Macaca fascicularis: one gene and its partners. The protein of the gene in region 6 purifies or fractionates together with the protein of the main gene of each other region. This does not show direct contact. Links are inferred from orthologs where the notes say so. Each region holds a gene or a part of one and is shown on either strand. Other genes may lie near its edges.

Region 1 (4,479 bases), on a different chromosome or scaffold from region 6:
TTGACCCAGACTCAGGTAGCTAGTAGGATTTCCCATAAATTATAAAGTTTAGATACTTTAGTCCATAAGTTTACCCACTGTCAATTCTCGATTGTTTCAGATTTTAGGTTTGCTTGCTCCTAGGATTGAAATTCTCATATCTCAGGGTTTGCCTTTAAAGTGAAAATGTACAGAGGCTCCTTTTGCTTTAGACAGAATAAACCTTTGATGTAGTTGTTTGAATTTACAGGGAGATGACTTCTCAAATATCATTTTTTCTAGTGGTATTTGTTGACAGATACCCCACAATTAGACTGTTTGCCCAACTGTCTTTTCTTTTTTCTCTAATTTGTTGTAGTTGCAAATGAAGGGTAAAAATAATTGAGTTATAGATGTGCTTATCATTTATTGATCCAGAATTTTATGAGGATTATTTTTAGTTCAAATTAACAATTTCAGAGAGAGTGAAGATCTGTGCTGTAATCTTTACTATTTTGTAGTAACGAGTCATTTTATTTTTATTTATTTTTTATATGAAGGAAAGTTTATTAAGGAGTACTGACTTATGATCATAAGCTGAAGTCCCACAAGAGGCCGTCTGCAAGCTGAGAAGCAGGAAAGCCAGTCTGAGTTCCTCATTTTTAAATACTGTGTTTTCATAGAGAAACCACGAAAAGAACTGATCAAATTCGTCAACTTTAGAGTACTTACATAATTAATGTGTATTTTTTAAATATACCTGAATTGAAACAACGGTTAATGGTCATAAATCAAGTAAAATATTAATGTCTTCCTTTATAATTTTTTTTTAGTACAACACCTCAGGTATTGAGCCCCACAATTGCATCTCCCCCAAACGCACTGCCTCGAAGAAGTTCACGACTCTTTACTAGTGACAGCTCCACAACCAAGGTAATTTAAAGATTTCTGTATGTCACGTTTACTTAATGCTTCCCCTGCTGAAATTTCTGTTCATTGATGACTCCATTCCTAAAAAGTTAATAAAGAGACTATTTCAAGTTTAAGAATGTTTTAAGTTAGAGGGACATCTATAATTTTTGTGAAGTTAATTAGTCCTTTGGTAAATATTATATAATATTCTTTTTCAATTAAAAAATTTTTTTTCTCAAGTTAAAAATGACAGGAATAATCTTGAAATGGCAAAATTATAGTAGTGGACAACAGATCAGTGGTTATTAAGAGTTAAGCCTCTAGGAGGGATGTTACTATTAAATCAGGGCACAAAAGAATTTTGTTGTGGTGGTACAACTGTGCTGTATCCTGATTGTGGTGGTTGATTACACAGATCCATTCACATGATAAAATTTTATAGAACTATGCACACAAACACACAGTTTTATGTAAAAACTGATGAAATCCATATAAGGTCTTTAGTTGATAGTATTGTACTAATTTCAGTTTCCTGGATATGATGATATACTATGGTTATGTCAGATATTATTATTTGCGGAAGAGTGAGTCTAAAATTATTTGAAAATAAAAGTTAAAAAAAACTGGAGACCTGGCAGATGCAGTGGCTCATGCCTGTATTCTTATCACTGTGGGAGACCAAAGTGGGCCGATCAATTGAGGTTAGGACTTCGAGACCAGCCTGGTCAACATAGCAAGACCCCATCTCTAAAAAAAAAAATGAGCTGGGATGGTGGTACTCTTTGATCCCAGCTGCTTGGGAGGCTGTGGTGGGAGGATCGCTTGAGTCTGGGGAAGTCAAGGCTGTGGTGAGCTCTGATTACATCATTACACTCCAGCCTGGGCAACAGAATAAGACCCTGTCTCAAAAAACAAAACAAAGGCCAGGTGTGGTGGCTTATGCCTATAATCCCAGTTACTTGGGAGGCTGAAGCAGTAAAATCACTTGAACCCGGGAGGCAGAGGTTGGGTTGCAGTGAGCCAAGAATTACATCTACTTATTTTCTTACTTTTAAATAATAAATGAGAGTTTGATATACTTTCACAAGAGGGCTACACTTAATGCTGACACACCTTAATCACTATCAGTTAATGTAATTTATGTTCAGAATTACTGTGTTTAAAATTAAATGACTTTGAAGACCTTTGTTTTTATAAACTCTTCTGAAAAAAATATAGAATTAATCAAGATTGTACATTTATTTTATATCTAATACTGGAGAAAGGGCTGAGGAGAATTCTAAAATACATGAGTATAACAAGTGTGAAATTTCCCCCCTTTTACAGGAGAATAGCAAAAAATTAAAAATGAAGTTTCCACCTAAAATCCCAAACAGAAAAACAAAAAGTAAAACTAACAAAGGAGGAATAACTCAACCTAACATAAATGATAGCCTGGAAATTACAAAATTAGACTCTTCCATCATTTCAGAAGGGAAAATATCCACAATCACACCTCAGATTCAGGCTTTTAATCTACAAAAAGCAGCAGCAGGTCTGTTTTAAATGCTTAATATTATCTTTATATTTTATTATGTACTTATTTTAAGTAAATTTCTTTATGTTCATTACAGTACCTTCATTGTTTTCTACATAGATGTTAGAATTTTTAATAGATTAGTTTGTAATTACCTTTTCTAGAGAACCAAACTGTTTTATTGCATTTTTTCCTTTGTTTACTATATTATTTTCTCCTAGAAGGTTTGATGAGCCTTCTTCGTGAAATGGGGAAAGGTTATTTAGCTTTGTGTTCATACAACTGCAAAGAAGCTATAAATATTTTGAGCCATCTACCTTCTCACCACTACAATACTGGTTGGGTACTGTGCCAGATTGGAAGGGCCTATTTTGAACTTTCAGAGTACATGCAAGTAAGTATAAAAATGGTTATATGTGCCTTTCTAGGGATAATTTCAATTTCATTAAAATAAATTCCCATGCTTGAGAAGGCTAGATCTAAAAGATCAGTATTTATTATATAATGTCTATATATTTATTTTGTCAGTATTTATAATGTATAGATACAGTTCTTTCTTGTGTTACTTGTGTTAAGGAGTAATTTAAATTCTTTGCAACTTCTCGGAATAGGTTTGTCATCTAGACATTCTTACGTAGACGTAGACTGTATCCTATTCAGTTGTATCTGAAAATACATATTTACCATGTAATAGGATTTATATTTTTTCTACAATATACAGAGTTAATTACTGGGATGAATTTTTGACATTAAATATGTTTTATAAACTTGAAGAATGCTATGAAGAAAATTGTGTTTGAGGACACAATGTCCTTATTACAAGGCTTTTACTCTTTGGATTTTAATTAAATTTGTTGCTTAAGTTATCTGTCTATACCAGAAAAGGAGAGAATGATTAACCTAAAGTCAAAGAAAATTCTAATTCCCAATTTAAATTACCCCTCAGTTCTTCCCAAAGCATTTTCTCCACCCCCAACTTAAAAAAAGAAACCTTTTAGAAACCTATATATTAATAAAATATTTCTAATATGGATTAAAGTTCATATGATTCGTTTTTTGCTTAATTTGCTTTCAGTTCATTTATTCAGTATATATTTCTGTGCATAAGATATCCTGGACTCTCTTCTAGACTCTGTATTACAGCTAGTCAGACAATTTCTTGCCTCTGTGGAGCTTACATTCTAGCAACAGACAAATTGTAAGCCAATAAATGTATAAGAACAAGTAGCAATAAGTCATGAAGAAAAATGAAGCATGGTGAGGAAACTGGGGGACAATGAAATATGGTGTTTTTGTTTTGCTTTGTTTTTGTTTTTATGCCCTCAGAGGGAAGGTTACTCTTCCCTTCATGATCCATGCAAAGATCTAGAGGAAAGGTGTTCTTTGCCACAGAGAATACATACAGAGGATACCTATTCATATAACTTAATTTTGAATAGTACAGAAAAGAGAGTTGAAGACAGAAAGTCTTATTCATTACTAGAAAACCCTATGGTCCTTTATTGGTATGTAGCATATACACAGACAGACAAGAGCTGTGTTTGGAAAAGCCCTTTAAAAAATTATTTCTAATTTATTGTTTCACAGCTACTTTAACATAAATGAATTTTATTGTTTCCCCTAGTTACAGTGGTGACCTAAATATTTAACTAAAGAAAACCTGTGTTTCAACTTAATTTCATGAGTTTTTTCCCATTTTTCTTTTTGTCAATGCCATAATCATTTTTCAAAGGAAGCAACAGATTCTGAAAACTTTGAAACCGTATATTTGGCTGATAGGTCTTTTATCTTGTTACCATGCCTACATGAAAATCTTGGCCAGAGGTGATGGCTCAGGCCTATAATACCAGCACTTTGGGTGGCCAAGGAAGGGGGATCACTTGAGCTCAGGAATTGGAGACCAGCCTGGCCAATATAGTGAGACCCTGTCTCTACAAAAAATGAAAAAATTATCTGGGTGTGGTAGCACTTACCTGTGGTCCCAGCTACTTGGGAGGCTGAAGTGGGAGGATCACTTGAGCCCTGCAGGTCAAGGCTGCACACTTACCTTTACAACTTTTAAGAGATTGCAAGGAAGTTACAAATCATTAAGC
Region 2 (5,016 bases), on a different chromosome or scaffold from region 6:
TACATATGGGGCTCCTACCATGAGCTAGATGGTAGGAAATGATGATGCAAACAGACATGATTTCTGCAATCAATCACTGGCTGGGTGCAGTGGGTCACATGTGTAATCCCAGCACTTTGGGAGGCTGAGGCGGATGGATCACTTGAGGTCAGGAGTTGGAGACCAGCCTGGCCCCAACATGGCAAAATCCCGTCTCTACTAAAAACACAAAAATGACCCGGGCATGCTGGCATGTACCTATAGTCCCAGCTACTTGGGAGGCTGAGGCAGAGGTTGCAGTGAGCCAAGGATCATGCCACTATACTCCAGCCTGTGTGACACAGCGAGACTCCATCTCAAAAAAACACAAAGTTGTATTCATACCTCCAGGTCCTTTCGAATGCTCTCAAACTCTTCAATGTCATCAAGCTTTAGCTCTAGGCGTGTTGGTTTTCGTCTCAGCATACTGAAGTCAACACTAAGGGCCAAACCCAGTGAACTATTAGCTGATAAAAATGAAAGAGAGGAGGAAAAACTGAAGGTAATAAAGTCTCAGATACAAAACATAAAATCAGTTTGCAAGCCTGTGTACTAAAGTGAATGGAAGTATTAAAACTTTATTTGAATTCACACAGACTTCTAAAGTCTTTTTAAGAGATGGGATCTTGCTCTTTGCCCAGGCTGGAGCACAGTAGCATGACCTTAGCTCACTACAGCCTCAACTTCCTGGGCTCAAGCAATCTTACTGCCTCAGCCTCTAGAGTAGCTGGGACTACAGGTGTACACCACCATATCTGGCTAATTTTTGTGTTTTTTGTAGAAATGGGATCTCTCTCTGATGCCCAGGCTGGTCTCAAACTCTTGGGCTCAAGTGTTCCTCCCTCCTCATTTTCCCAAAGTACTGGCATTATAGGCAAGAGCTACTATACCCAGCCAACTTCTAAAGTCTTTAGGTATATGATTATTACATTTTTATTACATTATGGAGATCTACAGCTCTGTAAAATCAAAAACTCTTTCAGTAAGAATTTAAAATAGCAAACTATCACTTTAATCTCATGTTCTAGTCACATTCAAAGAAATACTCTAGCTAAAAGAATAAACTATCACATCTCAGTATAGTTAGAGGAGAAAGTGGACAAACCAGTGAATTTAATCTACTCTACGTGAGAACTGTCAGAGATTTGTGATCACTCCTGAATGCTAAAATCAGTTTGCTAAATCTCATGAAGACTCCAACTCACCAATTCACAGGATTATCCTCAGCGTCCAAACAGATCCTAAATGTGTGTACGTCATTCATTAAACAAACACTTCTTGTGCTCCAGCTACAGAATTAAAAGGTACAGTCATAATCTGTGGGGAAAATAAAGAAAACTATGATATCATATAACGAGAACCCTAATGAGGATACTGGCACTGGCATCACACAGGCACCTAATCCAGTCTGGGCTGAGTGTGGGGTGGACAAGGATGTCAGGCAAGCCTTCCTGGAGAAAATGATATCTTAGTTGACTTCTGAAGGGCAGGCAGAGAGAAGAGTGCACAAGGAGGCTCAAGACCAGCTTTGGCAACATAGCAAGACCCTGTCTCTACAAAAAAGTAAAAAAATTAGCTAGGCTGGTAGTGTGTACCTGTAGTCCTAGCTACTCAGGAGGCTGAGATGGAAGGATCACTTGAGCCCAGGAGTTTGAGGTGGCCACAGTGAGCCATGATCTCACCATAAGACCCCAACTCAGAAAAAAAAAAAAAAGAAGAAGAAAAGAGGTTCAAAAGAGCATTCCACAGCCTGAAATCCCGAGGTAATACTGTGTTAACAAAAACCATTTTGTTTTGTTTTGTTTTGTTTTTGAGAAAACACAACTCCCCCAATTGAGTTTAATATCTGTTGATGGCATCATTTGTATATTCTCCACAGCATCCCCTAGAGTGTATCTATAAAAACAGTCAGTAAATGTTTGTTGAATAAAAGGTGAGATCATTCTTGAGCACTGTGCTCTTTTTCCATTCCCATTCTTTACATTCTTAACACAAAAACCTGTGAAGTTGACAAAATGATTCCTATTTCACACATAAAGAAGTCATCGAAGCAAGCTGTTCAGTTTGGTTAATAATTTTAGCCTCCTATAAAAATTATACAGGTCAACATGATAAGGATTAAGTGAGAATGATGGAAGTGAAAACTCCTTGAAAGTATATAGAGATACAAATTATTACATGTATCTAGGATGAAACTAGGGACTGTGAAGTATACAAAGGAAGAAATATTTCCTTCTCCCATGAAGCTTAGGATATTACAGGCGATATTATCAACACAAAACACTGGCACATTACATTTCAAATTGCTTTGTACTAAATCAGGCATTATCTTCTACCAGATTCCAATGCAGACAAATGGTAGAGAAAGCCAAAGTTCCAAAGAGGGAAAGAGAGGGATAGGGATACCTAAAAGGAAAAAAAAGGTCTACTATACATTTTACCTTTTCTGCAAACTGCGAAAAACTGGCCACTACGGAGCAGTATAGAGTAGCAGTTAAAAGTGCTGGCTGTAGAGGTTAAAGGGCACAGGTTCTAATCCCACTGCGCCACTGATCTTGAACAATTAGTTTCATTTCTAACTAGGCCTTAGTTTCCTCATCTGTATCCTACTTTGCTGTTGTAGGAAGTGAATAACGTAATGCAGAGTAAGCTCTTGGAACATTACTTGGCATTTAATAAATGTTCAATAAATAACACCTATTATGGCTGTAATTTTTCTAGGGGGTTGGATGAGGATCTGGCCAGCTACGGAAACGTCAATATTTTGAGGATCTCCCACCGTCCACGTGGGGATAAAAACCTTATGCTGTTCGTCTCTAATACCCCAGCATCCAGCAGGGCAGAGAGACGTACAGTTCCCTGACACCCTCCTAACCATCATCTTACTCTCAATCTGATACAAAGACCAGGCTGAAGACAAATGAACAAAATCAGGCCGAAGCTCCTCCGCCGGGTCTTTATTTGACTTTGGCACCAGCGGGCTCTTCTAGCTTAATCTCTCGCTGCAGCCCAAATCCACCGCCGAGCCATCAAGCTCATAGGTGGCCCCTGGGAAGACTTCCGGACCATGGAAGAGAACAGTCCTCGTCCCCTAGCTCCAGGCCTGTACCTCGGATCCCAGGGTTTCTATGGTAACACGGTCCTCGGCTCCCAGAAGACGTAAACGCCCCCGTAGGCCCGGGGAGGCACAGCGGGCCCCGGAAGCCCTCGACTCGCTCCAGAGTTCAGCCCCGAGCCGCGCGAGTCGACTTACCTACCTCTTTTCAAGTCGGCTCAGCCCCTTCCCGGAACCTCGGCTCCCCTCCACGAAACTACTGCTACGCCAACTGGACTACACTTCCCAGACGGCTTGGAGCCTCTCTCTCAGCAGAACCTCGTCTTCCGCGAGCTTTTCTTGGAGGTTCTAGGAGGGATGCCCCTCAATGCCACGACGCCATTTCCTACTACGACTTCCATCATGCTCCGCGCCGCTCCGGGCGCAGCGACGGCTCTTGGCCCATGTCCTGTTTGCGACACACTTCCGGTCAGTGACGCACTTCCGCTCTGCTGGGCGCGCGGTGGAAGGTCTGAAACGGAGAGCTTGGATTTCGCTGGGGCCTCGCGGCTCCAGAGCCCAGCATGGCTTCCTCGCGAACCTCCTCCACGGTACAGAGCCCGGGATCGCAACTCACTCTGGCAGGGAGCGCGAAGGGGGAAGAGGATCTCTGCGGGAAGGGGCCGTTAGGGAGCGAGAGAAGGCGGTGGAGGGCTGAGGAGGAAGGCTGCGGGACTCAGTGGTGTTCTACACAGCGGACCACCGTTTTCCTGACCCCTAAGCGCTTTCGTGGACTGTAGCTTATTTGCACCTCTCCCACTACAGCCCCAAAGGGCAAACATCTCTTCCGACTCATCCAGTAACGGTGCTCTGAAATAGGGAAGTGTCTTGGCCAAGGTTTATGCGTTTGGCAGATCTCAAAATTTTAATGAGACCTACTAACTTCTACCTCACGTCTAGAAACGTTTGAAATGTATACACTCGTAATGTTGTAACTTGTTATCCTTTAGCACCGCGTTGGTTATTTCATCTATCCTTAGTATTTCCCCAGTGATGAGCAGTAATCTTGGATACATCGTAAAACACGAGATTCCACGTTTCCAGCAGAATAAAGTAAACAGATTCCAGAGCAAACCTTTCATATGAAAATACTCGAGAGAACCTCACTAGTTTTATCAATCCCGTCAGCTAAAGTGAGGGACTGAAACACCCTCCCCTTCACCTCAAATCGATGAAGAACATCTTAAGTAGTGTCCAATTTGTCCTTTCAATTATGAAGGAAATAGGACTGTGAAACTCAGGGCGAGCTTCATCCTCGGGAAATCCGGTAAATTGCCAAGATTAAACCTCAATTTAATCCAGATTTTTGATTTGGCAGGCAACCAAAACTAAAACACCCGATGACTTAGTTGCTCCGGTTGTGAAGAAACCACACATCTATTATGGAAGTTTGGAAGAGAAGGAGAGGGAGCGTCTGGCCAAAGGAGAGTCTGGGATTTTGGGGAAAGAAGGACTTAAAGCAGGGATCGAAGCTGGAAATATTAATATAACCTCTGGTAAGATGCAAATTGTGAACCCATCTTTACCTCTTTGTGTAATGAATACTTTCCTAAACTTGAATATCATCAGTTTTATAATGTCAAAAAATTTAAGTTCTTTTGTTTTAGACGGAGTCTCGCTCTGTCACCAGGCTGGAGTGCAGTGGCGCGATGTCTGCTCACTGCAACCCCCGCCTCCCGGGTTCAGGCAGTTCTCCTTCAGCCTCCGGAGTAGCCGGGATAACAGGCGCACACCAACAAGCCCAACTAATTTTTGTATTTTTAGTAGAGACGGGGTTTCATCATGTTGGTCAAACTCCTGACCTTGTGATCCCTCCCCCTCGTCCTCCCAAAGTGCTGGGATTACAAGCGTGAGCCACTGCGCCTGGCAGAATTTCAATTCTTAAACTTGCATCTATAAGGCTG
Region 3 (4,946 bases), on a different chromosome or scaffold from region 6:
TGTCTCTACTAAAAATACGAAAATCAGCCAGGCGTGGTGGTGGTCACCTGTAAACCCAGCTACTTGGAAGGCTGAGGGAAAACTGCTTGAACCCAGGAGGCGGAAGCTGCAGTGAGCCGAGATCACGCCACCGCACTCCAGCCTTGGTGACAGAGCGAGACTCAGTCTCCCCCCCAAAAAAAACAACACAACAAAAAAGTATAGTCTAGATGACTTAAGTTCTCTTCAAACTCTGTGATTCTATGTATGTAGTGAGAAATAACCATCTGATGCCTGGATACAAAAGTATTATTACACCCACAGAAGGCATTCTGATACTCATATAACATACATGTCTACTTACACATGCATAAGTTACCTCTGTAATGACACAGGAAAAAATAGTTACTGCCTCTGGAGAAAGGAAATGGTGGGGTGAGGTTCAAGACTCAGGGAAAGATACTGATCTGCATGCCCCTTCTCCACTGTTTGAATTTAACAGTGTCTACTGCCTATTCCACAAGAAATTTTAAAGTATAAACCATGAAGGGCAGAAACCTGAACATGTCCTAAAGCTAGGAAACTGCCAATCTAACCTAACATGAAAAAGCATGGGCTAAACTTAGTCTAGCCAGAGAATTAAACTGTTTCAAACTCTCCTGTAACATCTTTGAGAACTAAGAGCAAGTAGGGCCTAAATCTCCAAACGTGGAAACTATGCTTTGACAAATCACTCAGAACCAAGAACCAAGTGAAAGGTTCCAGAATAAACACAGAAGGCTGACAGAGACCAGGGCTCCTGTCAACATGAAGTGGATGGTGGCAAAATGATGGGTCTCACTAGTAAGGTCCAAAGCACACTAATGAGGCCGGGCTCGGTGGCTCACGCCTGTAATCCAAGCACTTTGGGAGGCCTAAGTCATGGGGATCACTTGAGGTCAGGAGTTCGAGACAAGCCTGGTCAACATGATAAAACTCCATCTCTATAAAAAAAAAAAAAAATTAGCCAGGCGTGGTGGTGCGAATCTGTAATCCCTGTTACTCAGGAGGCTGAGGTGGGAGGATCGCTTGAGCCTGGGAGGTGGAGGCTGTAGTGAGCCAAGATCGCACCACTGCACTCCAGCCTGGGCAACAGAGCAAGACTCTGACTGAAAAGCAAAACAAAACACCAAAGCACACTCATGAAAATCCAATGGGCAGCAGCAGCTGCATTGTAAGCACTTTAAGGACCTTTCCCTTCTGACCTAGACCAGCTTCTATAGCAGGCCAAACACTAATACATCTACAGAGTAGAAGTTTCCATGATAATGCCATTTGGAGGTAGCAGACTGGTGGCTCAGAATGGAGACTCTCCAGTCAGAGAAGACCAGGTCCAGACATTGTACTCCTCCATTTATTAGATGTGTGAACTCAGACAAGGGTATTTCACCTCCCTGAAGTTGTACTCACTTCCTCAACACACTCAATAAGCATGTGAGTGCTTAATGCGCACATCCACTGTGCTTTCAATTGCTAGGCGATGCGAAGGGTAGAAAAGTGGGAGTACCTGAGAGTCCTGGGAGTCAGAGAAGGTTCTCTAGGAGAGATGTTCAGGCTAAAACCTGAAGGAGGAGGCAGCGCTGAGATAAGGACCGTTGCAGCAGGAACAGCAAGTACAAGGGCCCAGAGAACACGCTTGGTACATTCAAATAACACAAAGAGGCCAAGCGCGGTGGCTCACGCCTGTAATCCCAAAATTTTGGGAGGCCGAGGTGGTGGGATCACCTGAGGTCAGGAGTTCAAGACCAGACTGGTCAATATATTGAAACTCCGTTTCTACTAAAATTACAAAAATTACCTGGGCATGTGGCGCTCGCCTGTAATCCCAGCTACTTGGGAAGCTGAGGCAGGAGAATCGCTTGAACCCAGGAGGCGGAGGCTGCAGTGAGCCGAGATCGCGCCACTGAACTCCATCCAGCCTGGGCGACAGAGCAAGGCTCTGTCTCAAAAAAAAACAAAAATAAATAAAAATAAATAAATAACAGAAAGAATAGCCAGAGAGGCTGGAGAGCAGTGAACACAGTAATGAGATGAAGTAGCAGAGAGTGAAGGGCAGATAGTTCCTTTCGGAGGCCATGGGAAATAATTTTCATTAGTGCAATAAATGATTTTTTTTTTTTTTTAAGACGGAGTCTCGCTCTGTCGCCCAGACTGGAGTGCAGCGGCGCGATCTCGGCTCACTGCAAGCTCTGCCTCCCGGGTTCCCGCCATTCTTCTGCCTCAGCCTCCCCAGTAGCTGGGACTACAGGTGCCCGCCACCACACCCGGCTAATTTTTTTGTATTTTTTTAGTAGAGACAGGGTTTCACCGTGTTAGCCAGGATGATCTCGATCTCCTGACCTCGTGATCCGCCTGCCTCGGCCTCCCAAAGTGCTGGGATTACAGGCTTGAGCCACTGCAACCAGCCAGTGAAGGATTTTAAGCAGGAGAGGGACATGTACTTAAGGATGGACACTCAAGGATGGAATCAGCCCAGTGCTTCAATGAAACAAGAAAGGCGCCACGCCCACCCATTAATGGAATCTCCCGTTTCTTTTTTGAGACAGGCTGTCGTTCTGTCGCACACGGTAAAGGACAGTGATGCGATCACGGCTCACTGCAGCCTCGACCTTCTGGGCTCAAGCAATCCTCCTGCTTCAGCCTCCCGAGTAGCTGGGAACTCAGGCACGCACAATCACGCCCGGCTAATTGTTTAATTTTTATTTTTCATAGAGGCAGGGTCTCCCTATGTTGCCCAGGTTAGTCTTAACTCCTGGGCTCAAGCGATCCTCCCGCCTCGGCCTCCCAAAGTGCTGGTATTAGAGGCGTGAGCCATCGCGCCCGGCCCCGTTTTCAGGGGTTTCCCAAGGCGAGAAAGTGGACCCTCCTGATACACTTAATGGGGTGACCAATCTCAGATGCGGGGCTAGAGCATAAAAACCAGGAGGCTGGGTCCCGGAGCTGCAGCGAGAGAAAAAAACGTTCTCTGGAAGGAGCCGAGAGGGGAGGATTCGGCCCAGCGATGTGACAGTCGCGCTACCCCGCGACAGGTGCCTCAGAAAACCCTCGCCTGGGTCGTCCTCAGAGCCTCTGCCTTCTATTTCTCCAAGCCGCCGCTCGCCACATCTCCGCAGGGACTTGACGCCGGCACCCAGTGAACCCAACTTGCGCTCCGAAGTCTGCTCCGCTCCACTACGCCCTCGCAGACGCCGGAGCCTCCGCTGGTGCGGGAGGCCGCTCCTTCCCGCCTGTTCCCGCGTGCCCTGAGCCCCCGGTCCCAGACCACTGCCGCTTTCTCCTCAGCCCCAGGCCGCTCCCCGCCTCAACTCACGGGTTGTTATTGCTCATTGTAAGTAACAAGCTGCTGAGGAGCCGCACGTTGGAGTGCAGCCCCGCGGCCGCCATGTCCCGCACGTGGTCTATCACATTCATCCTGCCCTGCAAGGCCGCGGGCAGCGGCGGCAGCACTGTCTCGAAAAACCGGTAAGGGATCCTTAGGGAAGACTCCAAAATGGCCGCGTCGCCGGGGTCCATCGGGTCCACACGCGGCACCGCCCCCAAGCAAAAGGTAACTACTGAAGTGCCCGAATAAAAAGAAACTCGAGTCCCTGCTCCTGTCGTGGTCCCTTTCCGGTGAAATGAGTTGTTACTTTTACGCAAAAATTACGTCATCATCCTAAACTGCAAAATTTACTGAGGACTTACAATGAGACAAAAGTCACCTTAGTAAGACTACTTGGTCAATTTGAATGAGTCTGAGAGGAATTTGGGCCTCTCAGAAATTAAAATGTGTGAGCACTTACCAGAAATAAAATATAGTAAGGTGAGGAAAAGCGCTCCAACTGGAATTAAATATTCTAATCGGGCGCCAGGGACAGACCTAACGGCTTTTACAGTCGCGCATGCGCACCAGGCAGGGGCCGCCGCCTCCCTGCTCAGGTGTTTTGTGTTCCTGCTAAAGTCAGGCTTTGTCCCTGGATGAACTTGTTAATTCGAGGGGCGTATTTTACCATGTAAAATGATTCCCTAAATCCGTGGAAATAAAGACTAGATCCAGGAATTAGCTGATACCCATATAAACCAGCATGTGTCTGGCACAGTTAACTTTTTACAAAAGTTTTACACAAGTTATTGGACGTTCACAACAATCCATAAAGTTGAAGTTGTCTTTCCCTTCTCACAAGGGAAGAAACTGCCTGCTTAAATTTTGTGCTCAGGTTGTTAAATGGTTGACTTGGAATCAGATCGCCAGTGGTTAAATGTGATGGATCGCAAACTCGAATGTATACAGAGACCAGGGAGGTAACTGAGCCAATGAGGCAGTTTAGGTATTTGAATCAGAATCCCAATATCCTCCACAATCACCCTCTCAGATATAGCCTTTCGCTCCTTTCTTGAAGGAGACAGTTGTTTTGGTCTATATTTTGTTTTCATTTGATTTTTAGAGTAACAGATGCAAAAAAAAAAATGCTCTGAAAAAATCACGGTATATCTTCACCAGTCAACTTTTTCAGCTCTTACATTTTGTCACAGTTGAAGCTCCTGTGATCCTTTTCCCATCTCATCCCCTACTCTAGTTTTCTGGATGTATGAGACCTTTGATGTGATTTTGGTAGGCATGATCACTGTGAACTTTTCTTTTTTTTTTGAGATGGAGTTTTGCTTTTGTCGCCCAGGTTGGAGTTCAAAATCTCAGCTCACTGCAACCTCTGCCTCCCGGGTTCAAGTGATTCTCCCTGCCTCAGCTTCCTGAGAAGCTGGGATTACAGGCACCTGCCACCACTGTCACGCACGTCCGTGTGAAGAAACCACCAAACAGGCTTTGTGTGAGCAACAAGGCTGTTTATTTCACCTGGGTACAGGTGGGCATGTAGGAGGATGAGCCGCAGACAAAACTCCTCAGACACCAAATTAAAGAAGGAAGGAGTTTATTCGGCCAGGAGCATTGG
Region 4 (5,219 bases), on a different chromosome or scaffold from region 6:
CGGCACCATCGGGGTGGAATATGTCTGGCCTGGAAATGGCACCTCTGGGAGACAGGCCCAGGTTTTAGCAGCAGAAGAGCCCAGAGCTGGACCCTAGGGCCCTTGTTCAGCTTTGTGGCGTCTCCCTCTCCCAGTGCCAGCCTCTGGGACAGGCCTTGGGCAGCCTGCACACGCATGACCACACATGTGGGGGACATGGGGGCGACCTGCCTTTCCGAGGCACACCTGTGAGGCCGAGCTCTGCGGCCACCCTGCCCAAGTGTGGAGCAGGGGACAAGTGCCCAGTCCCTCTGGCCACCAGGGCATAGCTTTGAGCAGAGCTTTGCTGCCGGAGATGAGGTGTGTTGGCCAAGACGTCATTCGCCAGTCTAAGCAATTCCAACCGAACCCATGCAACGTCCCAGCCTCGCTGGAGACCTCCTGGCCCGGCACGTGGGGTGGGCACAGGCTGAGCAGAGGGTGACCCCAGGGCTCCTTCCAAAGGCCAGAGGCACAGGGATGGAGCTGGAGGTCTGGCAGGTAGCACCAAGCCCTAGGACGTGGCTGCCTGAGCCGTGGCCCAGGTGTGATGTGGGGTTTCACGCGCGGCTTCCTGAGCACCCAGGCGGGGGCGGCCCGGGAAGCTCTCAGGAGGCTGATTCCCAGTGCAGATGTGTAGGCCTGGGTGGCCCCTCGCCTACTGCTGAGGAGCAGGCCCTGCCAGGCTGAGAGAGGCCCAGGATAGAGGGGCATCTGGGGGGCCCCACAAAGCCACCAGGATAGAAAAAGATGACCTGACTTGCTTTAATCTGCACACTGTGGGGGTGGGAGTGGGCGTGCCCCTGAGCAGTGCATTCTGGGACACAGGCGGGCAGGGGCTGGCATGGGAGGACGAGAGCACCTGCAGGGCAGCACCTGGCGGGCAGGCGGGCGGGTGCATCAGCTGCAGTTCTTGGGCAGGCGGTAGACGCCGGCCGAGTAGACGAGCTGCTGGTCCCGCACCTTCTTCTGTAGGTAGCCCTGCAGCTCCTGCAGGTCAATCTCGGCCAGCGCAGGCCCGGTCACCACAAACATGCGGAGCATATTGTAGATACGATCCAGCGAGAGGCTCTCCAGGTTGGTCAGCATGGCCTGGATGTATGTCCAGAAGAGCTGCGGACACAGGCCAGCCCCCATCAGGCACCCGCAGGCCCTCCCCGCCACCCCCCACGGGCCCGCACACGCACCAGCAGCTCCTCCTCCTTCTGGTCAGCCTGGGAGGCCATGCCGGAGTCGCTCTCGTCGTCACTGTCCAGGAGCACCATGTTGTCCCGGTCCTGAGGCCGCTCCTCCTCAATGACAGAGAAGGTGCCGGGGGGCTCCTCGCGCAGCACGCCCTGCTGCAGCCACACAGACATCCGCCGCCGTAGCAGTGCCACGGGCATCTTCACTGCCTTGCTCAGTTCCTCCAGGGTCCAGCTGGCTGCGTGCAGAGTGACCGGGACACTGGGCAGACTGGGCACAGGCTGCACCTCCCCTGCCTCCTGTCAGCCCAGAGGTCGGGGGGCTCCCAGACCACCCTGCCTTGCCCGTGGGAAAGGGAAGGGTGCTGCCTGCTGGCGCAGCTGCCCCAAACCACACCGTCACTGGGGAACAGTCCCTCACCCACAGCTGGGCCGTGTGGCCGGGGCAGACTAGCTAGGGGCTGGTGGGCTCACCTTGGTCCTGAAAATACAGCAAGATCACCGCCTGTACCGGGGTGACCGCCACAGACAGCGTGCGGTCAGCCAGCTCCACGTCCATGGTCACCAGGCCCAGGGTGTGCTTCCAACTGAGGGTCCGCATGGCCTAAGGAGGGCTAGGGTCAGCTTGGGCAGCTCGGCTGCAGGGGGCTCAGGCCCATGGGCTCTGCCACCTGGTACCGGGTGAGAAAGGGGCTCCCAAAGCCACCTGCCCCACCCTACTCTGGCAGGCAGGTGAGCAGCGAGAGCACAGGACTGGGTGGGGTCCCTACCTGCTCAGCTACCATGAAATGGCAATGGGGCCAGCGTCACAAGGTGTGTCCCAAAAAGGCTACGTCTGCCTCCTAACCCCCAGTGCTTGGAAATGTGGCTGTATTTACAACAGGGTTGATGCAGATATAACTGAGGTCACACTGGAGTGGGGTGCACCTTAATCCAAATGACCGGGGTCCTTCTAAGCAAAGGAAAGATGGGAAGACACAGGCAGGCAGGGAGGCAGCCCACGAAGACAGAGGCTGCCTGGAGCAATGCGGCCACAAGCCAAGAAACACCACGGGCTGTGGCAAACACCAGAAACTGGGGGGCAACAGAGGACTCTAAGAGGTTTCAGAGGGAACGGGGCCCTGCCAATATCTTCACCTTGGACTTCCAGCCTCCAGAACTTAAGACAATCTATTTCTGTTTTTTTAACCCACCCAGTTTGTGACACTGTTACAGCAACCACAAGAAATGAACAGATCTTTTGGTACCAGGAAAGGCGCTGTGGAAACCTAACACCGAGAACGGTGGCAGCAGCTTTGGAAGTGGGTGATGGGGAGAGGCTAGAAGAACTATGGTGAGGGCCTGCGCGACTGTTGGTAGAAAGGCGTGAAGACAAGCCTGGAAATGGCCGGGAGAGGAGAGCTGCCGTCGTCTTGGAGAATACACACAGCATCACAGACTGGATACCAGCAGCAATGCCGACCCAACAGGTGCTTCCAGTGAGGTCTCAGGTGGAAATGAGTGTGCTACTGGGAACCAGAGGAGGCAGCAGAGAGCTTGGCTGGCTGGGGCTCTACTGTTGGGTACATGGTGGGGCCTACAGCTGATGAGCCTGGACATTCAGCTGAGGAGATTTCCAAGCAGTGTGGCAAGTGCCACCTGCCTTCTCCTTGCTACTTACAGCAGAATACAAGAGGGAAACCATCAGTGAGGCAGGAACCATTAAGCAAAAAGGCACCAGCCCTTGGGGATCTGAAAAATGCTGTATCCAGGCAGCTCTGAGACGTGGCCAAGGGTGTGGTTGGACCAGGGTTTGCTAGCGATGAGATGTGACCTGTGCATCCAACCAACCATCTCAGCAGCAGACAGGGCCAGGTGGGGCCTCTGGGAAAGGGCTGCGGACCCACCTGTCTGAGCGCTTGGACACTGGTGAGCTGCATGATAAGCCAACAAGGTGTGTGAGAATTTTGTACCATCTGAAGTGCTGCCAGGCTGGACCGAAAGGAAGGCAGGCTCCAAGAGCAGAGCTGCAGAGCCCAAGGCCGAAGCTGACGAGGTGGGGCTGCCCCTGCAGGCTGAGGACGGAGCAGGGAGCCAAAGAGGATTCGCAGGCCTGGAAGTCAACTGGAATTTCAGCTGCTGGGTTTGAACTCACTTGGAACCTGCCAACCTTTTTCCTCCCAGTTTTCCCTTTTGGGGTGGGAATGTCTATGCTTGTCTTACGGTGGAACTTCTGAAACAGATCATTTGTTGCCTGATTTCACAGTGTCCCAGCTGGAGAGGAATGAAGCACACTCCAAGCCTCACCCGTGCCTCGTTTAGATGATATTTACATGCTGAGCTGTGGAACTTCGTGTGGACGATATTTAGATGGGATTTTTGGACTTGGAGTTGATGCTGAAATGGTGAAGACTTTTGGGGCTACTGGGGTTAACTGTCACTTGCATGCTGGAGGGACCCGCCATGGGGCAGACTGTTATGCACTGAATTGTGCCCCTCAAAAAAAGACACATGAACCCCTAACTCCCAGTACCTCTGATGGGATCTTATGTGGAAATACGGTCATTAAAGATATAATTAAAATGACATCACCCTGGAATAGAGTAAGTGTCCTTCTAAGAGGGAGACAGGAACAGAGACACGGGGGAACATCATGGGCGACACGGCAGAGACCAGAGCAAGCCACCCACAGGCCCAGGAGCTCCTGGACCTCCCAGAAGCTGGAAGAGGGGAGGAAGCAGCTTCCCCTAGAGCCGTCGGAGGGCCCTGCTGGCCTGACTTTAGACTTCTGACTTCTGTAAGATGATCGTTTCTTCTAAGCCCCCTGGTCTGTGGTACTCTGTGCCGGTGGCACCGGGGCACTGACACACCTGCTCTGTGGGCCAAGGGTTCCTGAGTCCTTCCAGGATCCGGCAGCTCTTAACAGAAACAAACCTCTCTTTACGGACAGAAAATGGAGGGGGAGTCAGTGGCTTGCCTTGGTCCTAGCTCTGGCTCCAAGGCCGTGACCTCCACAAACGCCACTGGTCAGCCTGCAGCAGGACAGCTGCAAGGGCTCAGAAGCAGCCGGCTCAGGGGTAGATGCTGAGGGCTGCATGGCCAGCCAGGTGTCCAGCAAGGTCCCTTGGCCAGGAGCTCTGCTGGTGGGACCCCTCAGCACAGCCCCGAGGCCTTCCTGAGCTACTCCTGTGTCCCACTGAGGTTAAGACACACTGGAATGTGGCTGTCCCAGCACTTCAGGCCTGAGCAATGGGCAGTGGCTGAGCCATGCCTGGGACCCGAGGCGGGACCCTGGAGGGAGGCCAGTGGGACCTCGCCTGGAAGTGGCGCTGGAGAGCCTGAGGCAGCCAGAAGGGGCGGGGAAAAGGGACCGAGCGTGGAGCCCGGCCACACAGATGATGTGTACCAGAACGCAGCAGGGCACGGTGCCTGCAGGCTCCAGAGATGCCAGGCTGTAGCACAGGCCACAGCTGGAGGTGCGGGGATTGCCAGGGCCCTCCTTTCCACCGGGAGCAGGCAGGAGCCACACAGACCCTCCACAAGCTGCAAGGGACACCTGGACTCTTCCAGAGCCAAGCTGAGGCCTGGAGGGAGGCAGCAGACACTCGCCACCGTGGTCAGCAGCCCGGCCCTACCAGAGCCCTGTAGCCTCCCGCCCTGGTGCCTCTGCCTGGCTCTCCTCTTGTCTGTCTCTGGAAGGAAGCTTCCCCCTTGGTTTCTAAAGTGGACGTATCGCCCTCCTCTCCCCTAGGAGTAAGTTCCCTTGGCCTGTCAACACAGCAAGGCCCTCTTACTTGCCAAAGAAAAAAAGAACACACATCTAGGTCCAGCCTCCTTGACAGCAGACCTGGAGAAGCTGCGGACCCTCCCTTGAACTCAGCCCCACCTGCCAGCCTCCTGGCGGCTCTGTCCTAAGACTGCTCCTCCGGCCCTGGCTGAGGCTGGACCATCCCCCTCCCGGGGCTCCTGGGGCACCTGGGGTTGGGGTTTGCAGCCTGGATGCCGGCTGTGCCCCAGGACCCTCTCCTCACATTTCCC
Region 5 (4,479 bases), on a different chromosome or scaffold from region 6:
GTGTGAATTCAAGGCCCCAACAGATGGTCAACCACAGGGTGGATTTTCAGAACACACATGAGAAAAAATTCCTTCCACTATAACTTTTTTTTTCTTTTGAGATGGAGTCTCGCTCTTGTTGTCCAGGCTGGAGTGCAATGGTGCGATCTCGGCTCACCGCAACCTCTGCCTCCTGTGTTCAAGTGATTGTCCTGCCTCAGCCTCCTGAGTAGCTGGGATTACAGGCATGTGTCACCACACCCGGCTCATTTTGTATTTTTAGTAGAGACAGGGTTTCCCCATGTTGGTCAGGTTGGTCTCAAACTGCCGATCTCAGGTGACCTGACTGCCTCGGCCTTATAACTTTCTTTATATCATTTAGTTTGACCATAACAATGTATTGGTGGTTTTTTAAGGGGAACCACATTTCAAGTGAAACAATCATTTAATGAAATGTTTCTGGTAATTCTGTACACATCTCTTGGATGCAGTTAAAGACGGGTCAATCTGATATTGCATTCTGTCACAAGGAAGATGTTACTGGGAAACATTCTGGGATACACAGTGAACACCACCATGGCAAAAGGGGGTTAGGGTTTGTTTCAGGCAGCTACTATAGACTCTTAAGGCTCCCGATCATATACGTTTTCACTGTTTTCTGTTTTCAATCATAGTGGGCTGTCACTTATTCATTGTATGTCTTGAACACTTGGGAAAAAAAAAAAAAACTTCATTCCCTTTAGTTTGTTCATGAACACTGTAAGCTGGAGGAAAATAAATCTTAAAGTCTCACTCTTGACCACAGTTTCTCTCCATTTGCAAATCTGGTACTTTGAAAAATATCCAAAAAGACAAGAGAGCTGGGCAGCATTAAGTCATAGTAAGGGACAGTATTCAGGTTTAGGTGTCAAGGTTATTTGTTTCAACATGTAGATGTCCTAACTGAAGCATGGGAAGGCACAGACTATGCTTACCCCCAAGCAGACCATGCCCAGGGCCAAGCCAGCAGCTAAGGAGTATGACTCTCTGTCAGTGCAGTATTCCATTTCAGGACCAGGAGGCCGTCCTGTAAAAAGAAAAGCGACACAGTTCAAACTAGCCTCTCAAAATCGCAACTCATAAAAATCTTAGAATTAACTTTCTAGCAAGTTGCACTGGCGATACGAATGGAATATAACTCCATTCAGAAAGTTATGACACTATGGTGTCCACAAATGTAGGTTTACCTACCTAAAAAAAAAAAAAAGGGCCCAAAATAGTTTTTGTTTTGCCAATTTAAGTCTTTATAAGCAATGATATTCAAATACTATGAAACTTTGAGTCTTACCAAAAAAAATTACCAAGTAATAGAAAACATTTTTAAAGGGAAGAGTATTCCAAAAAAAAGTTTTATTTTTTTAAAAAACATCTCGGCTGGGTGTGCTGGCTCATGCCTGTAATCCCGGCACTTCGGCAAGCCGAGGCAGGTGGATCACTTGAGGTCAGGAGTTCGAGATCAGCCTGGCCAACATGGTGAAACCATGTCTCTACTAAAAATACAAAAATTAGCCAGGGTGGCAGGTGCCTATAATCCCAGCTACTCGGGGGGCTGAGGCAGAAGAATCACTTGAACCCGGGAGGCAGAGGTTGCAGTGAGCCGAAATCAGGTCACTGCACTCCAGTCTGGGCGACAGAGTGAGACAGCATCGCAACAACAGCTACAACAAAATATCTTACATTTTGCTTTCATTACTTTCAAATTCACTCATCACATGTGGCGAAACATGTTCAAATGATGATAATGAATAAGGATGTCACTTGCTTATATTATTGTTGAATATTATGTTTCAACATTTATTTCGAGTCTATATAATAATGAGCCCTACTATGGCAGAATTTCTGTGCATTGATCTCAGAAGTCTGACTGGATATAAAATTCATACTTTTAAAAAGCACCCTATAACCCTAATGCTACCTTGTTGAAAATGACAAAATGTACTATGTATTAAAACCCTTCCCTCTGAAAAAAATTTTCACACTCCTGAAATTTTATCCCGATAGGAAAAAAATGCAATTAAAAAAAAAAAAGAAAAAAGGCTGGGCGTGGTGGCCCTTGCCTATAATCCCAGCACTTAGGGAGGCCAAGACAGGAGGATTACTTGAGGTCAGGAGTTTAAGACAAGTCTGGCCGACATGGAGAAATCTCATCTCTACTAAAACTACGAAAGTAGCCAGGCATGCCGGCAGACACATGTAATCCCAGCTACTTGGTAGGCTGAGGCATGAGAATTGCTTGAACCCTGGAGGCAGAGGCTGCAGTGAGCTGAGATCACGCCACTGCACTCCAGCCTGGGCGACAGAGCACGACTCTGTCTCAAAATAAATAAATAAATAAATAAATAAATAAATAAATAAATAAAATTAAAGAAAAAAAAAATCACACAAAGGTAATCAGTGTAATGTTTATACATAACAACAAAGGATTATTAAAACAATCTAAAAAGTTCTAAAAGTTAACCAAAAAAAGCATTTTACAGACCATCAACTCAATGAGTATTATACAAAATTTGTTTTAAAAACCACTTATAACAATGATCTATACAAACAGAATTTTTAATGTACATTCTGAGAGTAATCCTATAAAAAGGCACATACATATGAATTAAAGATGAAATCTTCTATCTACAGTATGAAAGAAGTATGCCACAGCTGTGAGACTGTGCAGTGACATCATTAGACATCATCATCATAATCATGATGTAGCCAAAGAATGGTAAACTACTTTCCAGACGAACATGCTTTAACAACCAGTGTTGAATATTTTCTGAATAAGTGTTTTTCAGATCTCTAACTTATGCTACTATGTATTTTGATAGCAGAAACATTTCAACTTTGGGAATAATTTCATCTATCATTACAATAGACTAAATTATGGGTCCCGGTCTTCACTGGTTCTCTCTTAGGTTTCTGTCAACACCACGAGAGAAACACACCCTCCAGCGTGGGTCCCAGAATAAGGCAGGTGAGGCAGAACAGCAGCAGAGCAGCCAGCTACACAGCTACAGCCTAAAGCAGAGCTGCCTGGGCCAATGTTATGCCTGTATGTATGAAGCATCACTGTGGCAATAGCTATCTGATACCATTATACTAAATAATACATCTTTAACAATATATTCAGAAATGCATATAGAAAAAATCTTGAATAGGACATACAAATATGTAACTAAATTGTTGAGCATATTAATAATACCAATAACACTTCCATTAGGCAGAAAAAGACAACACATAATACAGATTTCCAAAAAGTTTAGACCGAGTAAGAAACAGAGACACTTCACTAAAGTGAGTGTGTGGACCTTACCATTTCCAGGTTCATCACCAACATACCCACCAGCATGTAAAGGAGGAAAGCAGGAGTCAATTACTCGACTTCTATTGGAAGTGCTGTATCCAACACAGTAAACACTGTGATGTGTATAGTTTAGTGTCTCTCAGGGACCAAAACAATCTACTCTTTGAGTTTTAAGTGCAGGCCACTGCTAGACATTGCTGGTATAGACATAGCAGGATAAACAGCATACTCATATATGATTAAAACCACAGGTACCTCATTAAATGTGACCACTGGAATTCAGTAATAAGCTAGCAAATAAATATGGAGGTTAATAACCTGAAGTTACATCAGCCTTGGATAACATTACTTAGAGATTTTTTTTTTAATTAGTACTAGATCATTCTTTGCTCACAAAAGCTACTATTGTCTTTCCTTAATTTTTATAATTTTATTATCATTTTTACTTGGATTTATGTGGAGTGGAAAGTGCATGCCTATGAAGATTCAGCACTATTAATCCCATACCTATCTCAGCCAACAGGACCTCTGCAGTATGTCTGTGAGCTGTCCCTTGATACACAAGGCCAATGCCAACCACCGCGGCCACTTGGACATTGTGAGGAACATCCAGCTCTGTGGACGTTGGGGGTAAGAGAGCAGGAATGTGAATGCTAAGAAGCCGAGTAATAGACATATCCATGGTGCCTAGTTTTGCAGCAGAAACACCAAGCAGCAGTCCAATGCTTGTCATTTCATGGCCCTAAGATAGAAACAAAACAAATATGTAGTTTAAAATAAACTACTGCCTGCCACTTTCAAGACGTACTTTTATGTTGACAGGCACAATGAGAGGCACCGAGAATATAGTGGTAAACTAAACAAACATGGTCCTTGCTCTCATGGACCTAATGTCTTAATAGGAAAAAAAAGTGTTAAATTAAAAAATATAAACAAATATATTATTAAAAAGTAGTACAATAAGAAAGTACAAAGTATTATGAAAGAGTATTTTAAAAGAGCTTAATTTAGATTGGGAGGGACTAGAGGATTATTAGGGATGAAATCTCTAAAGATTATACAAAGAAATTTATATTATGACCTGAAGGATGAAAACAAATTAGCCAGGAACAGTAGCAGGAAAGGGGACACTCAAGTTTAGAAGGTGAGGAAGACTGTTTCAGGTAATA
Region 6 (4,986 bases):
CCAGGAAGGTGGAGTGGGGCTCAGGCCCTGGGGATTTCAAGTGCAGATCGATGGCCTGGGAGGGGCCAAGGAGACCAGATCCTGGCAGCAGCTGAGGAGGTGCCCAAGGGTACTTTCAGGCACTGGGGCCATCAGCTGGTTCTGTGGGCAGGGGTTGGGGGTTGGGATGCAGGGTAGTTTGGCCTGGAATCTCTCTGAGGCCACCCTGCCTTGTCTACCTAGATCATCCACTGGTCCTGATCCTGTTCGTTGCCTTCCATGTCCACCTGGAGAGGAGGCTGGGTGTGGGTGGGGAGGGGCCTCAGCCAGCCTCAGCCCCAGATCCTGTCCCTGGCTGGATCCAGGGTTTCTGTACCCTTTGGCCATCAACTGGGTCAGAAGCAGGGGCCCAGGAAGAGAGGCCCTCCCCCATACCCCCTGCCTACCTCATTGACCTCTCCGTCATCAGGCGACTCATTGTAGTCATTCATCTCGTCCATGTCCTGCATGTCCTCATCATCCTCTGAGTCCTCTTCACTGTCCTCATCGTCTTCATCATCCTCTTCTTCCTCGTCATCATAGTGCTGGTGGGCAGGACAGAGCCTGTAAGCCCTACAGGCCTGCGTGGATCAGTTCAAGAACTGACCCACTTGAACCTCTCTCTAAGGCCAATGAATGACCCCCCACCCCAACCCTCCCTCCTTGAGTCTAGCAGGCTGGTGCATGTTCTGCAGGACCTTAATGCTAGGCCCAATGCCCACCCCTTCTATCTCCCGTTTTTGCCCTTCACCCAGATCTGAGAACCACAACTGCTCTGGGTGAGAGGCAGGACATTCAGAATTAGAGCAGAGCCTCGGTCCACTGTGGCCCCCACACAGGCCCCACCTGCTAGAGCCACTCACCTCTGAGGCTGGCTTGCCAATAGGAACCAGGTTGTTGTCTTTCTCTGCGATGCTTTGGAGCTGTGGGCAAAGGCACAGACGAAAAAGGCCAGAGCCCAAGTAGGGCAGGTCAGGGGCATGGGACTGGCCCATTCTGCCCAGAAGACGAGCCACACGTGTGGGGGAGAAGCCTCCTCCCAGTTCTCAGGGAGATTCAATCCCTTTCTTGTCATCTGCCATTTATGAACTTGATCTAAATACTTAAACTCTCTGAGCCTTGGTTTTTTCGTATAATTATGGTGAGGATGAAGTGAGAGACTTACCAGCCTAGAAAGTGTCATCTGCTAGATCCTCAATAGTCAAAATTATTTCCTGTGCTTTAGGGAAAAGAGCTTGGGCTGAGTGTCAGCAGCCTGGGCTCTAATCTGGCCCAGAAGTCACATGGTACCCCTGTAAATTAGGGTATGAAAAGATGAGAACCTTGGCTCCCTGGCTCCCAGCCTGATTATTCCCAGCTGAGGGCAAAAAGCTCTTCCTGGGCAGATTTCCAGAATAAGGCTGGGTCATGGCCCACTGAAGGGGGTCTCTGTCTGTGCTGGGGTCTCTGTCTGTGCTGTGCTAGCTGCTCACTCACCCAGGCCTGATGCTGCTGTTCCTGCTGCTGCAGCTCTGTCTCTTCCACACAGGGTCGATCCAGGTTAAACCACAGTGTCTCAGTCACACGAGGGAAGAGTGAGGGGAACAAAGTGGACATGGCTCCTAGACTGAGGGAAAGGGTCAAGTGAATGTGTTTTGCTTAGTTTTCGTTTTTAATTTGGTTGTAATTTGATTTAGGGATAGGGTGGAAGACAGCAGGAAAGCAGCCCCTCCCACTAGGAATCAGATAGACCTGGCTTTGAGTCCTGGCTCCAACACTTACTAGCTGTTTGACCTTGGCTGAGTCACTTAACCTCTCTGGGCCTCAATGTCTTCATCTGTAAAATGGGGATAATAACAATTATACCACCGTCAAAGTTATTCTGATAATTAAGTAAATAATGGATAGATAAAGCTGTTTGCAGGTTGTTCAAGGAGGGAAGGGAATGGGAGTCAAGTGTAGGAATAGGAATCCAGAATGCAGACTGGCATTATGAAATTATACAAAATTAGAGGTAGCAGGGTTCTACTGAAATTATCCCTACCTCCTCCATACACTAAAACCTGCTTTTTGCACCTTTATGATGGCCCATGCCACACCCACCCAGTGTCAGAAATTTAGGACACTAACGACCGCTCATGAATCACAGCCAAATGTTGGGGTGGGGGGATTGTAGCATATGCAAGCAGGGCTTAGTAAGACATTCTAGGAGGCATGAATAAGTGGATAAATAAGTAGATGTAAGATTGAATGGATGAACTAACATTATAAGGGTACAATCAGCTTTGAGCGGCTGAGGGAGCCGACCAGGAGTGCTAGATAATCTTTATTAAACTGAGGACAGGCAAACTGAGGCCCAGCGACAGGCAGAGACTGGCTTTAGGTCATACAGTGAGTCGGGGCTTAGAACTCCTCCGTGAAAGGGATGAGCAGGAGAAAAGAATTGACGCTGGTCCTGCTTCTGTCCTAATTTATCTGACCGACCCAGGGCCAGCCGCTGCCCTTCCCTGTATCTCAGATTCCCAACCTGCGTAATTAGGCACGAGAGAAAACACCCTCATGTCCAAGAAGTACTGACAGGCCAGAGATCTCAGCTCGGAAAGCCCAACCCACCGTCGCAAAGCCACCGCCCATTCTTTACTCATTACGCTAATGACCATGCAGTTGACCAACAGAAAGAAAGTAGGGCGGGACTCAAGACAGAAATTTGGCCTTATAGGGTTGCTAAACGCGAAAAAAGCGGGGCCTGGGTAGGGCCAATTAACTGAAAGAAATGCTGGGTGACAGGAAGTGACACCAATGAATGACGGACCTTGTGTGAGGGGTGGGGCTTAGTCTCGAGGAAGCGGCCAATGAACTGGAGCTCTTTAAGGGTTAAGGACTCTCAATATGGAGCTCCTGGGCAGTCGGGTCAAAGGAAATGGGTTTCTGTGGGAGAAGGAATGAAGGGGCAAGGAGACGACGGCAGCCTTGTCTCTGTACTTACCGCGCCGGGAGGCTGCAGCCGGCGGCGACCCGGAAGCGCTTAACTCAGCCTGAGCGGAAGAACCCACCAGAATCCGGGACTCACCAAACGCATGCGTCCTTCGTCTCCTTTTGTTCCCTGCTCCCGCCCACTAAACCGGATGTGACGTTGCATACCTTAGTCACAGTGTTAGGGAAGGAAGTGTGACCCGCCTCGAGGCTCAGCCAATCGGCCTCTCCATCCTGGCCCCACTACTACGGCTACATTTAACCCCTGCCGCTTTGTTCCCAGGCACCATTTGCTTGTTAACCCCTTCTGAAGAATAGTTGACAGCAACCTCTTAGTGCGAGGGCCGTTTGTCCTGCTAATCTAATTACTACTCCAGAAAACTAAGAAAACTAATCTGTTACTACTCCAGAATTGCTGGTTAATGTTATGTCCCTCCTGTCTGTGCTCTCTCAGCTTCAGTTTCCCGTTTGAGCACATTCATTCTTTTTTATTTTTGCTCTGAACAAAAATATTTGAGTTCCTATATTACTATATTCCAGGCCTTGCTAGAAACTGGGGATACATCTATGAAAATGGTGGCTTCCCTGGAAGACCTCACAGTCCAGGGAAGCCAAACCCTGCAGACATGCAGTAGACTCAGTGATCTCTCTTAAGGTTGTCTGTTGAATTCTGACATTGGAGATTATGTACAGACTTGAATGACTAGTCAGCCTCAGGCACAGCATTCTGTTGCTTGGGGAATCTGCTGCCCTCCTCAGACCTGGGCCAAGTCCCCTTAGAGGTCAACCTCGTAACCTCTCCCATTCCTTTGCTGATGCCTCAGTTCCAGTAACCTCTGACTCAGCTTCGCCTTTAGAGATACTCATGCTTTCTGGAAACAGAGGTCCTTCAAACCCAATTCCTATTAAGCTCCATCACTTACCAGGCTCTTCCAGGGACAGCAGTCGTCCACATTTCCAGTACTGTCCTGGACAGATGTGTGAGTTTTGGCGAGTCCTTTTGCTCTCTGAACTCAGCTTCTTTGTCAACCAGCATCATAATCTCTGCCCAGCCTTCCTTCTATCCTGGGCTGATGTGAAGATTGGATAAGAATTGTTCAAGAGGTCATGTACTGTGCATATTGAATGTGATTATATTGCCAAATAGCACCGTTTGTTATAGTTTTTCATTAAAGAGTACACTTTGCCTCTTGGAAATGACTACCTTTTTCATTCATTCAACAAATACCTATTGAGTGCCTTAGTATATGTCCGTCACTATTCTTAGTAGTGGGTATACAGTAGTAAACAAAACAGACCAAAAAGTCCCTCTTTTCATACAGCCTTCATTATGAGAGAGGTAAACAATGAAGAAGATAGATAGATAAATAAATAAAATATGTAGTTTTAAGATTGCAGTAAATGGCCGGGTGCGGTGGCTCAAGCCTGTAATCCCAGCACTTTGGGAGGCCGAGGCGGGTGGATCACGAGGTCAGGAGATCGAGACTATCCTGGCTAACATGGTGAAACCCCGTCTCTACTAAAAATACAAAAAACTAGCCGGGCGTGGTGGCGGGCGCCTGTAGTCTCAGCTACTTGGGAGGCTGAGGCGGGAGAATGGCGTGAACCCGGGAGGCGGAGCTTGCAGTGAGCCAAGATCACGCCACTGCACTCCAGCCTGGGAGACACAGCGAGACTCCGTCTCAAAAAAAAAAAAAAAAAAAAGGTTGCAGTAAATACTGAGGAGAAAAATCTGAGAAGTGGGAATAAAATATTTGCAGGGGAGGTGTTTTATTTTTGATTGGGGGGCCAAAGTCACTGGGAAGGTGACTTTTGAGTAAAGGTCTGAAGAAGCAGAGAGCCTTCTGATATTTGTGGAAGAGCATTTCAGTGAGAGAGAATGGAAGTGCAGAGGGCCTAGAATGGCTTGGGCATAGTGTTCTCTAGGGCGAGTAATAGGTAGGACATGAGGAGTTGGGGAGTCAGTGGAGGGTTGTGAGCACAGGGTCCACACAATCTGATTTACATTTTAACTGA

The links.
Region 1: the proteins of ANAPC15 (region 6) and CDC27 purify together in Homo sapiens (affinity purification with mass spectrometry; 3 studies listed by BioGRID and IntAct, with this or other methods). This does not show direct contact. The link is inferred for Macaca fascicularis from reciprocal best matches to the Homo sapiens genes ANAPC15 and CDC27.
Region 2: the proteins of ANAPC15 (region 6) and CDC26 purify together in Homo sapiens (affinity purification with mass spectrometry; 3 studies listed by BioGRID and IntAct, with this or other methods). This does not show direct contact. The link is inferred for Macaca fascicularis from reciprocal best matches to the Homo sapiens genes ANAPC15 and CDC26.
Region 3: the proteins of ANAPC15 (region 6) and ANAPC7 purify together in Homo sapiens (affinity purification with mass spectrometry; 3 studies listed by BioGRID and IntAct, with this or other methods). This does not show direct contact. The link is inferred for Macaca fascicularis from reciprocal best matches to the Homo sapiens genes ANAPC15 and ANAPC7.
Region 4: the proteins of ANAPC15 (region 6) and ANAPC2 purify together in Homo sapiens (affinity purification with mass spectrometry; 4 studies listed by BioGRID and IntAct, with this or other methods). This does not show direct contact. The link is inferred for Macaca fascicularis from reciprocal best matches to the Homo sapiens genes ANAPC15 and ANAPC2.
Region 5: the proteins of ANAPC15 (region 6) and ANAPC1 purify together in Homo sapiens (affinity purification with mass spectrometry; 3 studies listed by BioGRID and IntAct, with this or other methods). This does not show direct contact. The link is inferred for Macaca fascicularis from reciprocal best matches to the Homo sapiens genes ANAPC15 and ANAPC1.

What each region holds. Positions count from the first base shown.
Region 1 is NC_088390.1:68,119,666-68,124,144, reverse strand, and holds part of CDC27 (cell division cycle protein 27 homolog), read left to right. Parts: intron 1-791; coding exon 792-891; intron 892-2,196; coding exon 2,197-2,404; intron 2,405-2,607; coding exon 2,608-2,780; intron 2,781-4,479. UniProt on the Homo sapiens protein: Component of the anaphase promoting complex/cyclosome (APC/C), a cell cycle-regulated E3 ubiquitin ligase that controls progression through mitosis and the G1 phase of the cell cycle.
Region 2 is NC_088389.1:44,824,114-44,829,129, reverse strand, and holds the start of CDC26 (anaphase-promoting complex subunit CDC26), read right to left. Parts: upstream 3,466-5,016; 5' UTR 3,272-3,465; intron 1,336-3,271; 5' UTR 1,283-1,335; coding exon 1,224-1,282; intron 486-1,223; exon of another isoform or gene 458-485; coding exon 364-457; intron 1-363. Other genes in the region: PRPF4 (U4/U6 small nuclear ribonucleoprotein Prp4), read left to right, coding at 3,637-3,663, 4,431-4,608. UniProt on the Homo sapiens protein: Component of the anaphase promoting complex/cyclosome (APC/C), a cell cycle-regulated E3 ubiquitin ligase that controls progression through mitosis and the G1 phase of the cell cycle.
Region 3 is NC_088385.1:117,272,942-117,277,887, forward strand, and holds the start of ANAPC7 (anaphase-promoting complex subunit 7), read right to left. Parts: upstream 3,523-4,946; 5' UTR 3,430-3,522; coding exon 3,329-3,429; exon of another isoform or gene 2,529-3,328; intron 1,581-2,528; exon of another isoform or gene 1,526-1,580; intron 1-1,525. UniProt on the Homo sapiens protein: Component of the anaphase promoting complex/cyclosome (APC/C), a cell cycle-regulated E3 ubiquitin ligase that controls progression through mitosis and the G1 phase of the cell cycle.
Region 4 is NC_088389.1:2,138,947-2,144,165, reverse strand, and holds the end of ANAPC2 (anaphase-promoting complex subunit 2), read right to left. Parts: intron 1,807-5,219; coding exon 1,677-1,806; intron 1,442-1,676; coding exon 1,206-1,441; intron 1,132-1,205; coding exon 919-1,131; 3' UTR 770-918; downstream 1-769. UniProt on the Homo sapiens protein: Together with the RING-H2 protein ANAPC11, constitutes the catalytic component of the anaphase promoting complex/cyclosome (APC/C), a cell cycle-regulated E3 ubiquitin ligase that controls progression through mitosis and the G1 phase of the cell cycle.
Region 5 is NC_088387.1:18,843,737-18,848,215, forward strand, and holds part of ANAPC1 (anaphase-promoting complex subunit 1), read right to left. Parts: intron 4,053-4,479; coding exon 3,818-4,052; intron 1,046-3,817; coding exon 954-1,045; intron 1-953. UniProt on the Homo sapiens protein: Component of the anaphase promoting complex/cyclosome (APC/C), a cell cycle-regulated E3 ubiquitin ligase that controls progression through mitosis and the G1 phase of the cell cycle.
Region 6 is NC_088388.1:70,873,031-70,878,016, forward strand, and holds the start of ANAPC15 (anaphase-promoting complex subunit 15), read right to left. Parts: upstream 3,113-4,986; 5' UTR 3,068-3,112; exon of another isoform or gene 2,810-3,067; intron 2,581-2,809; exon of another isoform or gene 2,262-2,580; intron 1,835-2,261; 5' UTR 1,780-1,834; intron 1,625-1,779; exon of another isoform or gene 1,620-1,624; 5' UTR 1,615-1,619; coding exon 1,495-1,614; intron 1,311-1,494; exon of another isoform or gene 1,202-1,310; coding exon of another isoform or gene 1,184-1,201; intron 942-1,183; coding exon 882-941; intron 564-881; coding exon 426-563; intron 279-425; coding exon of another isoform or gene 219-278; exon of another isoform or gene 142-218; coding exon 37-141; 3' UTR 1-36. UniProt on the Homo sapiens protein: Component of the anaphase promoting complex/cyclosome (APC/C), a cell cycle-regulated E3 ubiquitin ligase that controls progression through mitosis and the G1 phase of the cell cycle.